Linked DNA regions of Danio rerio. Each later gene encodes a partner of the first gene's protein in a complex. Links are inferred from orthologs where the notes say so. Each region holds a gene or a part of one and is shown in the gene's direction. Other genes may lie near its edges.

Region 1 (4,140 bases):
TGATTAAAAGACATAAGAAGGTAAAGTAATAATAATAACAATAATAATAATAAATAATATATTTTTTATTTTATATTCAATGTTTAGTAAAGTAAAGCTTTCTTAATAGTTATTAATAATTTATAAATAATGAAATAAATTATTATTGCTCTAATTACCACTGCTAATTATTATAATTATCATTACAATAGTATATTTAATTAGTATAAATTGGGTATAAATGTATAATTAAACATCATATTATATTATATATAATATGTAAAGTGGTTTATAAAAGATTGAAAATAATTAAAAAATGTTTTATTACAATACAAATACAATAATACTAGTTAAAATACAATAATAATATTATTAATAATAATAATAATAATAATAATAATAATAATAATAATAATAATAATAATGACAATTCGTAGTAGTAGAAGTAAAATTAAAAAATAGATAAATTTATCAACTATTATTAATTATAGAAACAATATAGATAATAATTATAGGGACAATATAGATGTTTAACCGTGATAAACATCATATAATATTATATGGTATAACTAATATGTTTATGTTTTATGGATATGTTTTAATAATAACAATAATAAATATAATAACTATTATTAATATCTAACTATTATTAAATTTAACAATAAAAAATAATGATTAATACATGTATAAAAATATAAACATAATAGTCATAATCGTAATTAAAGCAGCACAGTTAATATTAGTAGAAATGATATATTGTTATTATTTTAATACTTATTACTTACAGCAATAATAATACATTCATATTATAATTTAGAAAAGTATATAAATATTAATAATAATTATTAAAAATAAATATAATAATTATATACTACTAATAATGACTTTTGTTTTGTTTTTTGCTGTTATTATTAATATTTTTATCATTATTATTATTATTATTAATAATAATAATAATAATAATAATAATAATAATAATAATAATAAATGAATAATAATTTTTTAAATATTTAGCCTTTTATTGTTGTTCTGGAACAATTACAGTTTATTATCTGTCAAGGAAAAACAGAAAAGTACAAACGTGGGCTTAAACACTGATCTCTATATAGAATGACTATTTTCTATGTTCTCTATCCATACGGATCGTCATCTGGCACACATGATTTATAGATCAGTAGTGTTGCGACAAAGTGGAGCCAATATATGACGTCACCGTGACACCACCGGAAATCGTCCGAGCAGAAGCGTCAGCTGATAACAGGAGAACAGAACAGAACACTTCACCTTTTCCAGCGACCAAAGGTACAAATTCAGCGATAAAACGTTCAAAATATAGTTTGAGAGTTATGTTAAACACGCGATTTATGTTATTAAATATAACGTAGGTCATTTGTAGAGTCTGTGTTAGGTAATATAACGTACTATAGCCGAGAAAGAAAACAGTAACAGGCGACTTTCTACAGCATATTCACCTGAAATGTCGTTAAATGTTGAAGATTATATAGGATAATAACTGTTGTAAATGTTATTATGCTCAGTCTGTATATATGATTGTTTGTCGGTGAGCATTTGCCAGATATAATAGTTTATTCAGGACAAACTTCGTCCATTTATCAAGATCTATTTAACTATTAACAGAAAGTACCGTCTTTTTAACGTTTACCATTAGCTATAGAGCTACATCTGCCTTATATTTAATCTTTTACAGCAGAGCAAATTAAAATTTAGCATTGTACAACCTTTTGATCTTCCACAACCTTTTTATTTCAGCTTAAATATCTGTATTATTTGGTCCTTATGTTTTAGCTTATTACTCCTATATACTGTGGTAAAACATAGAGGTAAAGTTGGTTTTATATTCGCACATTTGGACTTTCCCCTAATAATATAACTTCATCAAAGTATTATTTGCAAACTCTAAATAGCGAAATCAAATTAGCAGCCAATGAATGAAAGTACAACATTGTTCACAGTCAAATAAACAGTGTTAATGTTGTTTTCAAGTCATACTTACATGCATACATATACATATTCAAAGTAACACGGTAAACAATATGAAGACAGCTAAATGAACGAATATGTGAATATAAAACTAACTTTACCTCTATTGGTAAAACAGTGTTGTGTTTTCTTTAATTTATACAGGGCTGGGCCAAAATACATTGAAATGTATTTTTAAATCAAATACCAATTATCTTAAGGTAAAGTGTATCAAAATAAACTACAAAATACAGCAGCCACAAAGTTTTTTTTTTTTTTTTGCTATTGAGTATTGATTTTTGCTTCAATACTCAATGTAAAAGCTGTGTTAGATGTTTTTAATTATTAATTATTTGTTTTTCATATGTTGTGACATTTTACAATTTGCATCTTTTCTCTTCATTAACTGTACAGTGCACCTACTGATCAACTACTGGCATTTGAAACAGCCAATGCAGTTTTGTAGCAAATGTATATATATATATATATATATATATATATATATATATATATATATATATATATATATTTATATTTAGGTATGTATGTATCTCTTAACGACAATGTCTGTCATCAATAATTTACAGAACAAAAAAGGTTTTACTCAAACAATTACCTATATATTAGCCAAAAGGTCCATATTTTTTAACATAATTTTAGAAGAGGTAAGAAATCAATATTTGGACCAATCTGAACTTTTAGTGGGCGGCACTGTGACTCAGTGATTAGCACTGTGGCCTCACAGCAAGAAGGTCGCTTGTTTGAGCCCTGGCTTGGTAAGTTGGCATTTCCGTTTGTAGTTTGCAAGTTCTCCCTGTGTTGGTGTGGGCTAGTCCAACCACATGCGCTGTAAGTGAATATAATAAGCTAAACTAGCCGCAGTGTATGTGAGTGTGTGTTCGTGTTTCCCAGTATTGAACTGTGGCTGGAAGAGCATCCGCTGTGTAAAGCAAATGCTGGAATAGTTGGCGGTTCATTCTGCAGTGGCGATCTCTGATTAATAAAAGGACTAAGCCGAAGGAAAATGAATGAATGAACTTTTAGTGTCAATTAAAACAGTATTATTCTTAATTGGACTACATGTAAACATTGCTATTTGGCATATATCTATTGGTTGAACAGCTCAGCTCTGTCTTCTGGCTCCAGCACAGGATGTCTGCCTACCCCAAATCCCACAATCCTTTCGCTGATGATGATGAAGAAGAGGACTCGCGCACGGCTCCGAGGAGAGGCTTTAACTTCGATGATGATCCGGAGGAGAGTTCGCTGAGTCCGGCAGAGAGAAGGCAAAGGCAGCTGCAGCAGGAAGTGATGCGTACAGCTCAGTCCGCCGTGGACAGCAGCCACCGCTCGCTCGGACTTATCTACGAATCAGAGAAAGTCGGTGCTGAAACCGCAGAGGTGAGACCAAGAACATACAGTTGAAGTCAGAATGATTCTTCCACCTGTGAATTTCTTCTTCAGATATTTCCCAAATTATGTTGATTAGACTAAGGAATTTTTCACAGTATTTCCTATAATATTTTGTCTTCTAGAGAAAGTCTTATTTGTTTTATTTCGGCTAGAATAAAAGCAGTTTTTAATAATTTTAAATCCATTTTAAGGTAAGTATTATTAGCCCCCTTAAGCAATATTAGTTTTGGATTGTCTCCAGAACAAACCACTGTAAAACAATGACTTGCCTAATTACCCTAACTTTTCCCTAATGAACCTTGTTAAGCCTTTATTTATTTATTTATTTATTTAAATTTTATGTTTACTGTGAGCATTCAATTGAGTACAATCATACAGCATTTCAAGGTACATTGGTATCTCAGTATGTGACCTTGAGTTGTATAAAAATTACGTACATTATTGTCAGGTGTATTTACTACACAGAAGTACTCAAATTTTGGAAATTATAAAATGAAAAACAGCATAAAGAGAGAAGAAAAATAAAAAAAATAATAAGAAAAAGAAAATAAAATTAAATATAATAATCAAAAATAAATAGAAATAAAGCACTTTTTACATCCAGGCTAAGAATGCATGTCATAATATAGCTCCTTCCAGAATAACCTCAACTGACCATCTTCATTATACACATAGGGATGTCACACAAGTATCTTGTTAAGCCTTTAAATGTCACTTTAAGCTGAATACTAGCATCTAGTCAAGACATTATTTACTGTCATCATGGCA
Region 2 (4,281 bases), on another chromosome or scaffold:
TTTCAATTTTGTTTATCCATTCACTGTACATTTTTTTTTTTTGTAGGCTTCCCTCTGCCATGGCTACTAATCTGTCAGTACCCTTGGCTTTCGTGGCCCTTCTGCACTTGGCTAATGAGAAAGTGAGTACTTTAAAATAGTTCAACGCTTACTATAGACGAAGATCTAATAAATATTCAGTGTTGATTTACTGTTAGCATGCTGTCTTGTTTAAACTTGTTTTTGTAACCTGCATGTAGAAACCTATTGTTTGTGTATTTAATTGCTGTGAATCTAAAAGTGGTTCTTTCCATCAACAGAACTTGGAGCTGCACAAAATTGATGGCATGACTGATATCATCATTAAACAAGGCCACTGAAAATCTGACACAAATCTTTTATGCACAAATTGTCATTTGTATCAAAATGTAAATCCGCTTTCTTTTGTTCTCCATGGCATGTAAAAATACAAATGTCGGGACAAAACAGTATAGCCAAGAGGAGGAGGAGGAGGAGGAGGATGATGACGGTGGTGTCAGGATTATGATAATGTTGTACAGGGAAATACCAAACCACAGACTTTTTTATTGATATATATATATATATACACACACACAAGTGAAAGTGAAAGATGTCAGAAGCATTCACCAAGAGGAAAAAACTCAACATGGTGCAGTTTGAATAATGTTTGCTTTTAAAATCAAGCGTTTTGATAACTTTAGCAGCTTCAGTAAAAAGTAAAAATATTAATGTGCTGTTTTCAGTGTCACTGTTTTTTTATTGCATTATTTAAATTGTAAAACATAATTTCTTAACTTTGAGGTTTCTTTTAGATGTGTATTGTACATACCATTTTCAAAAATAAAACGTGTTGTCACATTTATGCTTGGTTTTGTGTCTAGTATGATTTTTTTTTAAATAGAATAATGCTTTAAATGCATGCAATGCCAAAGGCGTTTAGGTGGAGTTGTTGAAGACGTATTGTGTTTCATGCATAGGAATTGAACTATTTTAACTTTGTTTTTAAGCAGTTTTCATCATGCTTGAAATTATAAACTTCTATAAATACCACTGAGTTTAATCACACATCAGTACTTTTAGAAAACTCACTCTAATCCGGTTTTACAAGACGCTTCTCATACCTGCCGGGAAGACGTCTAGATGGCATGATTATAGTATTTGCACTCACCTTACAGGTGTGTTTGTGAGATGAACCCGGCGCCATCTTGAGGATGCTATGGGAAGTGTCGCATCAGAGGTGGGCCAAAGCCAAGTCATTCGCTGCTGGAGGAAGAGTGAATTAGAGACCAGGAAGTGTTGACACGGCGTACATCTATCGGTTACACTAGAAAACAGTTGCAAACATTTTAATTCTAAAGGATAACGTGTATTTTTTATATTGTGGAGTAAATAAAAAGAAGCTGGTGAAACTATGGGTGTAACTGATCCAAACAGTACGGTAAGTCACTAATTTTAACAACAGTCAGCAGGTGCTTTTTGTTGCATCGTTTTTAAGTTTATAGTTAACAAAACTGTGCGAACTTAATTTCTCTTGATATCTGTGCGAATGTTACTTTTAGTGGTGCAAACATTAGAACAAGTCAGTGTGTGTGCGTGTCTTGTTTTTCACCGGTTGGTGTTAGTTTGACGCACTCCAAACAGGGCGAAGCTTGTTTTTCAAGTTTTACTTAAGTTTCTACGTTCCTGTTGTCAGCAAATGTAGATAATTTGCTTGGTTATCTTATACAAATGTAATGTTTAAATAACACATTTATACTTGAGATTAGTACCGTTTATATTGGAATTTTCTTGTACTGATTTGTTTACTCAGATGGATTGAATTTACCTTGAGCTTCGAAGCATAACCGGTTTGCATGATACTGTTGAGCTCCACTCTTACTGAATGGGCCCTCAGTTTAGAAATATATTCACAATAACTTCAGCTTGCAAATGTGCTGATAACATAACACATCTCTTTGACTGTTAAACTGAACCAGAAGTGTTAGGTCCTCCTGCTCGTTTGCTTCAGATCAGGTTGGTCAACTGTCAACACTTGGTTTTAAAATCATTTCACAAGTTCCACTCACAGTGTAGAGACTAACGTTACTTCGATGTATGTGGCATTGTGGTTAAGATAAAGTTTGTCTGTAGTGTTTTAAATAAATAATATATTCAATTTGTCATTTGAATGCTGGTCCTTGAAGGAAGCAAGCATGTCGTTGTTTAATACAAATATTAAAGAAACTCAAGTTTAAGAAATGGAAAATTACTTACCCTTGTTGCAAACCTGTTTGATTTTTCTTTCTTACATAAAACACACAGATATGTATTTTGAAAAAAGCTGGAAACCTGTAACCATTGACTTGCATAGTATTTGTTTTTCCTTCTATTGAATTCAGTGGTTACATGTTTTTGGCTTTCTTTCAACAGAAGACACTCAAAGGTTTGGAACTAATTGAGGGTGACTAAATAGTGAGTAAATGTTCTTTTTTGGGTGAACTTTTCATTGAAGATGATTGTTTATCCCATTATATATCTTTGATACATTTAAGTTTTAATTAAAAAAAACAGTTTCAACAAAACATACTTGCGGTTCACATAATACCAAATTATATTCTTTTTAATTATCATGTTGTTTCTGTCACATTATAAAGTGGATCGCACACATCACACTATTTTGCCACAATATTGGTACCTCGAACTGCCAGTATCAGATGTTACCTAATAGCTTTCTGCCATCCTGTAGGTCTTGTGACACCAACACACACACACACACAAAGAGAGAGCCATTGAGTATAATAGAAGGGCAGGACAGGTAGTGACGCAACAATGCTTTTGGTTTCCTGGTAACTCCTTTTGTTTATGAGGTATCTGCCGAACAGGAGAGCTTAAATGTGTTTAAAATGGCTGAACGTGTAAAAAGCACAGAGAGTTTACTCTTAAGACACAAATTGCACAATTAACGGCTAAAGATTGCTTCCATGAGACTTGTTCTATGTTTAAGTGTAGCAGTATTTTATTGGTGCTTTAATGTGTGAATGTGGTTAGGCTTTCTTGTTTGGTTTTGCGAGTATCACACATAAGGTGCCACATCTACACTACAGGCGAATTATACTGTATGATGTCTTGGAGTTGTTTTTATTTGGATTAAATATTCTGTCAAATGCAATTGAGTCACACAAATTCAGTTTGTTGTATTTGAATTATATTTCAGAATGTTAAAATTGGCATTCATCCAATCCTATTAATGCAATGTCATAAAATACTTTTCATTTCTCTAAAATACTTCAAATTTACAATACTTTAAGTAAAGCAGTAAATACTTTTGAAGAAGAATGTTGATGTTATTGCATGCCTTTTACATGTGTAAATATATCGCAGTGTTGCACACATACTGTACACATCATGTTGGATATATTGGATCTTTCCATGCTCAACATCTAAAAACCAAATGATCAAATAAATTATTATCAAATTAATTATTAAACCAAATTCAAATTGTGTGCTGCACATTTAAGATTATACAGTATATTAAAAATAAATACATTTGTAAAGTAGTTGATATAATTCTCTAGTAAACCAATGTAGTACTAAGCTCCGATATCTCTTGACCAATAATGGACAATGTTGAACATTAATGTTTGTACTTAAAAATGCACTCTATGTAATACCGTTGACCTTCGTACACTTTCTAATCTAATGTCTATCTTCTTTCATTTATTAATTTTCTTGTCAGCTTAGTCCCTTTATTAATCTGGGGTCGCCACAGCGGAATGAACCGCCAACTTATCCAGCACATTTTTACACAGTGGATGCCCTTCCAGCCACAACCCATCTCTGGGAAAAATGTCTATCTTATCCTTTTTAAATAAAACTTCCTAGCTCTGACTTTCTTCTTCAAATACACTTTTATTTGTTCTAATACTGTCTATAGAGGTTGATCTACTTCTAGCACTAACAATCTGTTTTCTGTACTTTTTTCTTTTCTAAATAATTTGGCCTTCTGGCATAACGCAGTTTTCTTTTTCTCTCTCTCTCTCTCTCTCTCTCTGTCAATTCAAATCAATTAAATTCAATAATTGTGTTATTTGCATGACAATTGTAAGAAATGTATTGCCAAAGCATTCATAAACTTTACTTTAAAAAGAACATGCTTGTAACAAATAAGGAATGGTTAACTATTTTGAAACACAGATGATCACAGGTAATTCAGATTCATGGAGAGAATTTATTTGGAAAAATGTAAACATGAAACATTTTATTTTAGGTGTTATAAAGAACCCTTTCAAACTAGAGATAAAA
Region 3 (2,781 bases), on another chromosome or scaffold:
AATTGTTTGGTTATCAGGAAAACAGCACATGAAAAGTGTGTTAGTTCAAACGCTGTTTTGGGACATTGATGCTGCATAAATCATTCATTTCTCACCTGTCTGATGCTTTCATACACATACACATACACACACACACATACACACACACACTGCATGTGGGTCAGAGACACAAGGATTCTTTTTCTATACGATGTTTCAAATATATATGAGAAGAAACTACAAACATTGACTTGGATGCACTTTGATAATATGATAATCATGTTTTTTACTTTTTGGATTTTTATTTATTAATATTAAATTAGTTTTTATTTTTTTATTTTTTAAAGTGTGAAGTAAAAAATGTCAGTATTATAACTATACTGATAAAACAGAAAAAAACATGTACATCCTAACTTTAAATTTTTTTAGAGATTTTTTTAAATGTATCTTTTAAAATGCTGAATTAAAATTAATAGATATATTTTTATATTAAATAAAAAACATTTATTAAAAAATGTAAAGTATGACCATTCAAAAATCATTTGAATGATTTGAAATATATGTCATAGAAGATAATAATAATATTTACTATTATTATTATTATTATTATTACTATTATTATTATTATTATTATTATTATTATTATTACTATTATTATTATTATTATTATTATTATTAATAATAATACTAACAATATTATTATTATTATTATTATTATTATTATTATTATTATTATTATTATTATTATTATAAAACCACTGTAAATATTAAAAAATATTAATATAAATCTTAATTATAGCATAGGAAGATAATAATAACAACAATAATAATAATAGGCATTGTTTTTATAATAATCGTAAAGGGATTCAATATTATTTAATATACTATTGTCAAAATAACATTGTAGACAATTATCATTAATATTAATAATTTCCCCTGTACGGTGGATTTTTGTATATGCTAACATGTATAAATGATGTTTAATGATGTACAGGGCTCAGCATATATAAGTACATCCCTTACAAATCTATCTTTTAAATTCATATTTTTTATAGAAAGCTACAAAGAATATTATTTGTGCATATACATTACATTAGTCAGTACTGAAGCCAAATCTGGTGCTTATCTAACAAAATAACTTACGATAACGGTCTAAAAACTAGTACATCAAATTTATGTCACAAATACAAATTTCAAAAAGAGGAAAATATAAGAGTAGCAAAAAAATAGAAAAATGTATTTTTTTTTATTGTATTACCTTTCAATTTCTAAATATGTTTGGTGACTAAATATTATTTTAATAAATGTATCTGTTTGATAAATCAGTTTGTTTAACTGCACCAAAAAATCCATATCCTATCTTCTCTAAGAAATGGATAAAAATATTCATTTTCAAAATGGGGTGTACTCAATTATGCTGAGCCCTGTATATCATGATGTTTATCTATCTCTATATGTGCTCTATTTCTGTGCAGGCGGCCCGTGCGAAGCTGGCAGTGTTGCCGGTGGCAGGAGCGGTGGTCGGGGGAGTGTTAGGGGGGCCGCTGGGACTCTTAGCAGGGTTTAAAGTGGCGGGGGTCGCCGCTGCCTTTGGAGGTGGACTGCTTGGTTTTGCCGGCGGAAACTTGATCCAACGCAAAAGGAAAGAAAGAATCGACCTGCAGCTACAAGAGCTTCACAGCAACAACAACAGTAAGAACGACACTCAGTGACACGTTTGTTTTCGTGGAGGAATCCATGAGACGGCAGACTTAGACGACCCACGCGTGTTCTCAAATAAACAGCAGACGCTCGTGAACGTACATGCAGAAATCAACCACATCTGCACAGTAACTCCTACATGCAGTGCAAACATGCACATGCAAGTGGACCTGCTAATTTCCCTTTTGCCTTAATTCAACATTTTGTTCTATGCCAAAGCAAACAGGGCCATATGATCTGCTGCTAAACAGCTGATTGACCTTTGAAGCAGTAATAGAAGTGTTAGAAGTGGTTAGAGATTCTAGGTTATGGATGTACAAGGCGGGTACGACTGTGCTAGATTCTCTTATTTCAAACTATTGTACAGTATGATCTATTATACATGGTGAACATCTGTGGTAGGTGACATACTCCTGTTTACAACAATTATGTAGGTTTTTTTGTGCTAAAATTATATTATCACGTATAATTCCATTATAAAACGCATACAATTGGGATGAAAGGCTGAGATTGTCTTTTATTTTTGTCAATGGGTTATGAATAGATGATGATGGGTACTTTATAAGGTCTTGGCAATGCATAGTAGTGAGAATCACTTTAAGAATTAACATTATAAACTATAAACAATCATTAATAGAAATTATAAAATGAAAAATAACATTGTTTCCATAACTTGCTTATAACCTTTTACTTACTTTGCCATAATGATATTTTGATAGACATTTCAGATCATCTCAGGGTGCTTTCAATCAATACAATTTCAAAGTGACTTCAATGCCTTGTGATAACACTTAATATTCATAATGGATAACTATAGAGAAGTCAAATTATTTGTTTATATATTATTTTTGTTACATTTTTTGTGGCAAAATATTCAGTGTAAGGTTAGTTCAGTTATAACTGCACATTGAAGAAAACATTTTACTTTTTGGGTAATTATTTGCGATATTTTACTATAAGTGTGGAAATGAAATGTTATTTCTTATGGTCTTATTTTATTTTAAAGCAATTGATATGTAGGATCCAGATGTTTCAGCTCAACATCCTTCTACACTGAGTTTACGCGGGCTTTTTGTGTCTTTCTATGTTCTGCTGGGGGGG

The links.
Region 2: the proteins of snap29 (region 1) and vamp8 are in contact, whole or in part, in a crystal structure (PDB 4WY4), measured with the Homo sapiens proteins. The link is inferred for Danio rerio from reciprocal best matches to the Homo sapiens genes SNAP29 and VAMP8. Residues at the interface, in NP_004773.1 of Homo sapiens: Leu206, Leu209, Ser210, Leu213, Leu216, Lys217, Ala220, Leu221, Met223, Gln224, Ile227, Glu228, Gln230, Asp231, Leu234, Leu237, Thr238, Val241, Asp242, Leu244, Asp245, Ile248, Lys249, Thr251, Glu252, Val255, Arg256, Leu258; in NP_003752.2 of Homo sapiens: Leu16, Glu19, Val20, Val23, Ile26, Met27, Gln29, Asn30, Arg33, Ile34, Arg37, Asn40, Leu41, Leu44, Lys47, Thr48, Asp50, Leu51, Thr54, Ser55, His57, Phe58, Thr61, Ser62, Val65, Lys68, Phe69.
Region 3: the proteins of snap29 (region 1) and stx17 are in contact, whole or in part, in a crystal structure (PDB 4WY4), measured with the Homo sapiens proteins. The link is inferred for Danio rerio from reciprocal best matches to the Homo sapiens genes SNAP29 and STX17. Residues at the interface, in NP_004773.1 of Homo sapiens: Arg52, Thr56, Ser59, Thr60, Arg62, Ser63, Leu66, Glu69, Ser70, Val73, Gly74, Ser77, Glu80, Leu81, Gln84, Val87, Leu88, Thr91, Met94, Val95, Lys97, Met98, Asp101, Leu102, Ile104, Ser105, His108, Ile109, Ser111, Ile112; in NP_060389.2 of Homo sapiens: Glu170, Trp172, Glu173, Leu175, Glu176, Leu179, Ile180, Ser183, Val186, Thr187, Phe189, Ser190, Val193, Asn194, Gln196, Gln197, Ile200, Ile203, Ala204, Val207, Asn208, Ala210, Ala211, Val214, Glu215, Thr218, Leu221, Gly222, Ala224, Ala225.

The regions. Positions count from the first base shown.
Region 1 is NC_133183.1:3,058,454-3,062,593, forward strand, and holds the start of snap29 (synaptosomal-associated protein 29), read left to right. Parts: upstream 1-1,204; 5' UTR 1,205-1,281; intron 1,282-3,081; exon of another isoform or gene 3,082-3,110; 5' UTR 3,111-3,111; coding exon 3,112-3,360; intron 3,361-4,140. UniProt on the Homo sapiens protein: SNAREs, soluble N-ethylmaleimide-sensitive factor-attachment protein receptors, are essential proteins for fusion of cellular membranes.
Region 2 is NC_133180.1:28,878,246-28,882,526, forward strand, and holds the start of vamp8 (vesicle-associated membrane protein 8), read left to right. Parts: upstream 1-1,328; 5' UTR 1,329-1,411; coding exon 1,412-1,438; intron 1,439-4,281. UniProt on the Homo sapiens protein: SNAREs, soluble N-ethylmaleimide-sensitive factor-attachment protein receptors, are essential proteins for fusion of cellular membranes.
Region 3 is NC_133191.1:30,526,200-30,528,980, forward strand, and holds the end of stx17 (syntaxin-17), read left to right. Parts: intron 1-1,454; coding exon 1,455-1,691; 3' UTR 1,692-2,182; downstream 2,183-2,781. UniProt on the Homo sapiens protein: SNAREs, soluble N-ethylmaleimide-sensitive factor-attachment protein receptors, are essential proteins for fusion of cellular membranes.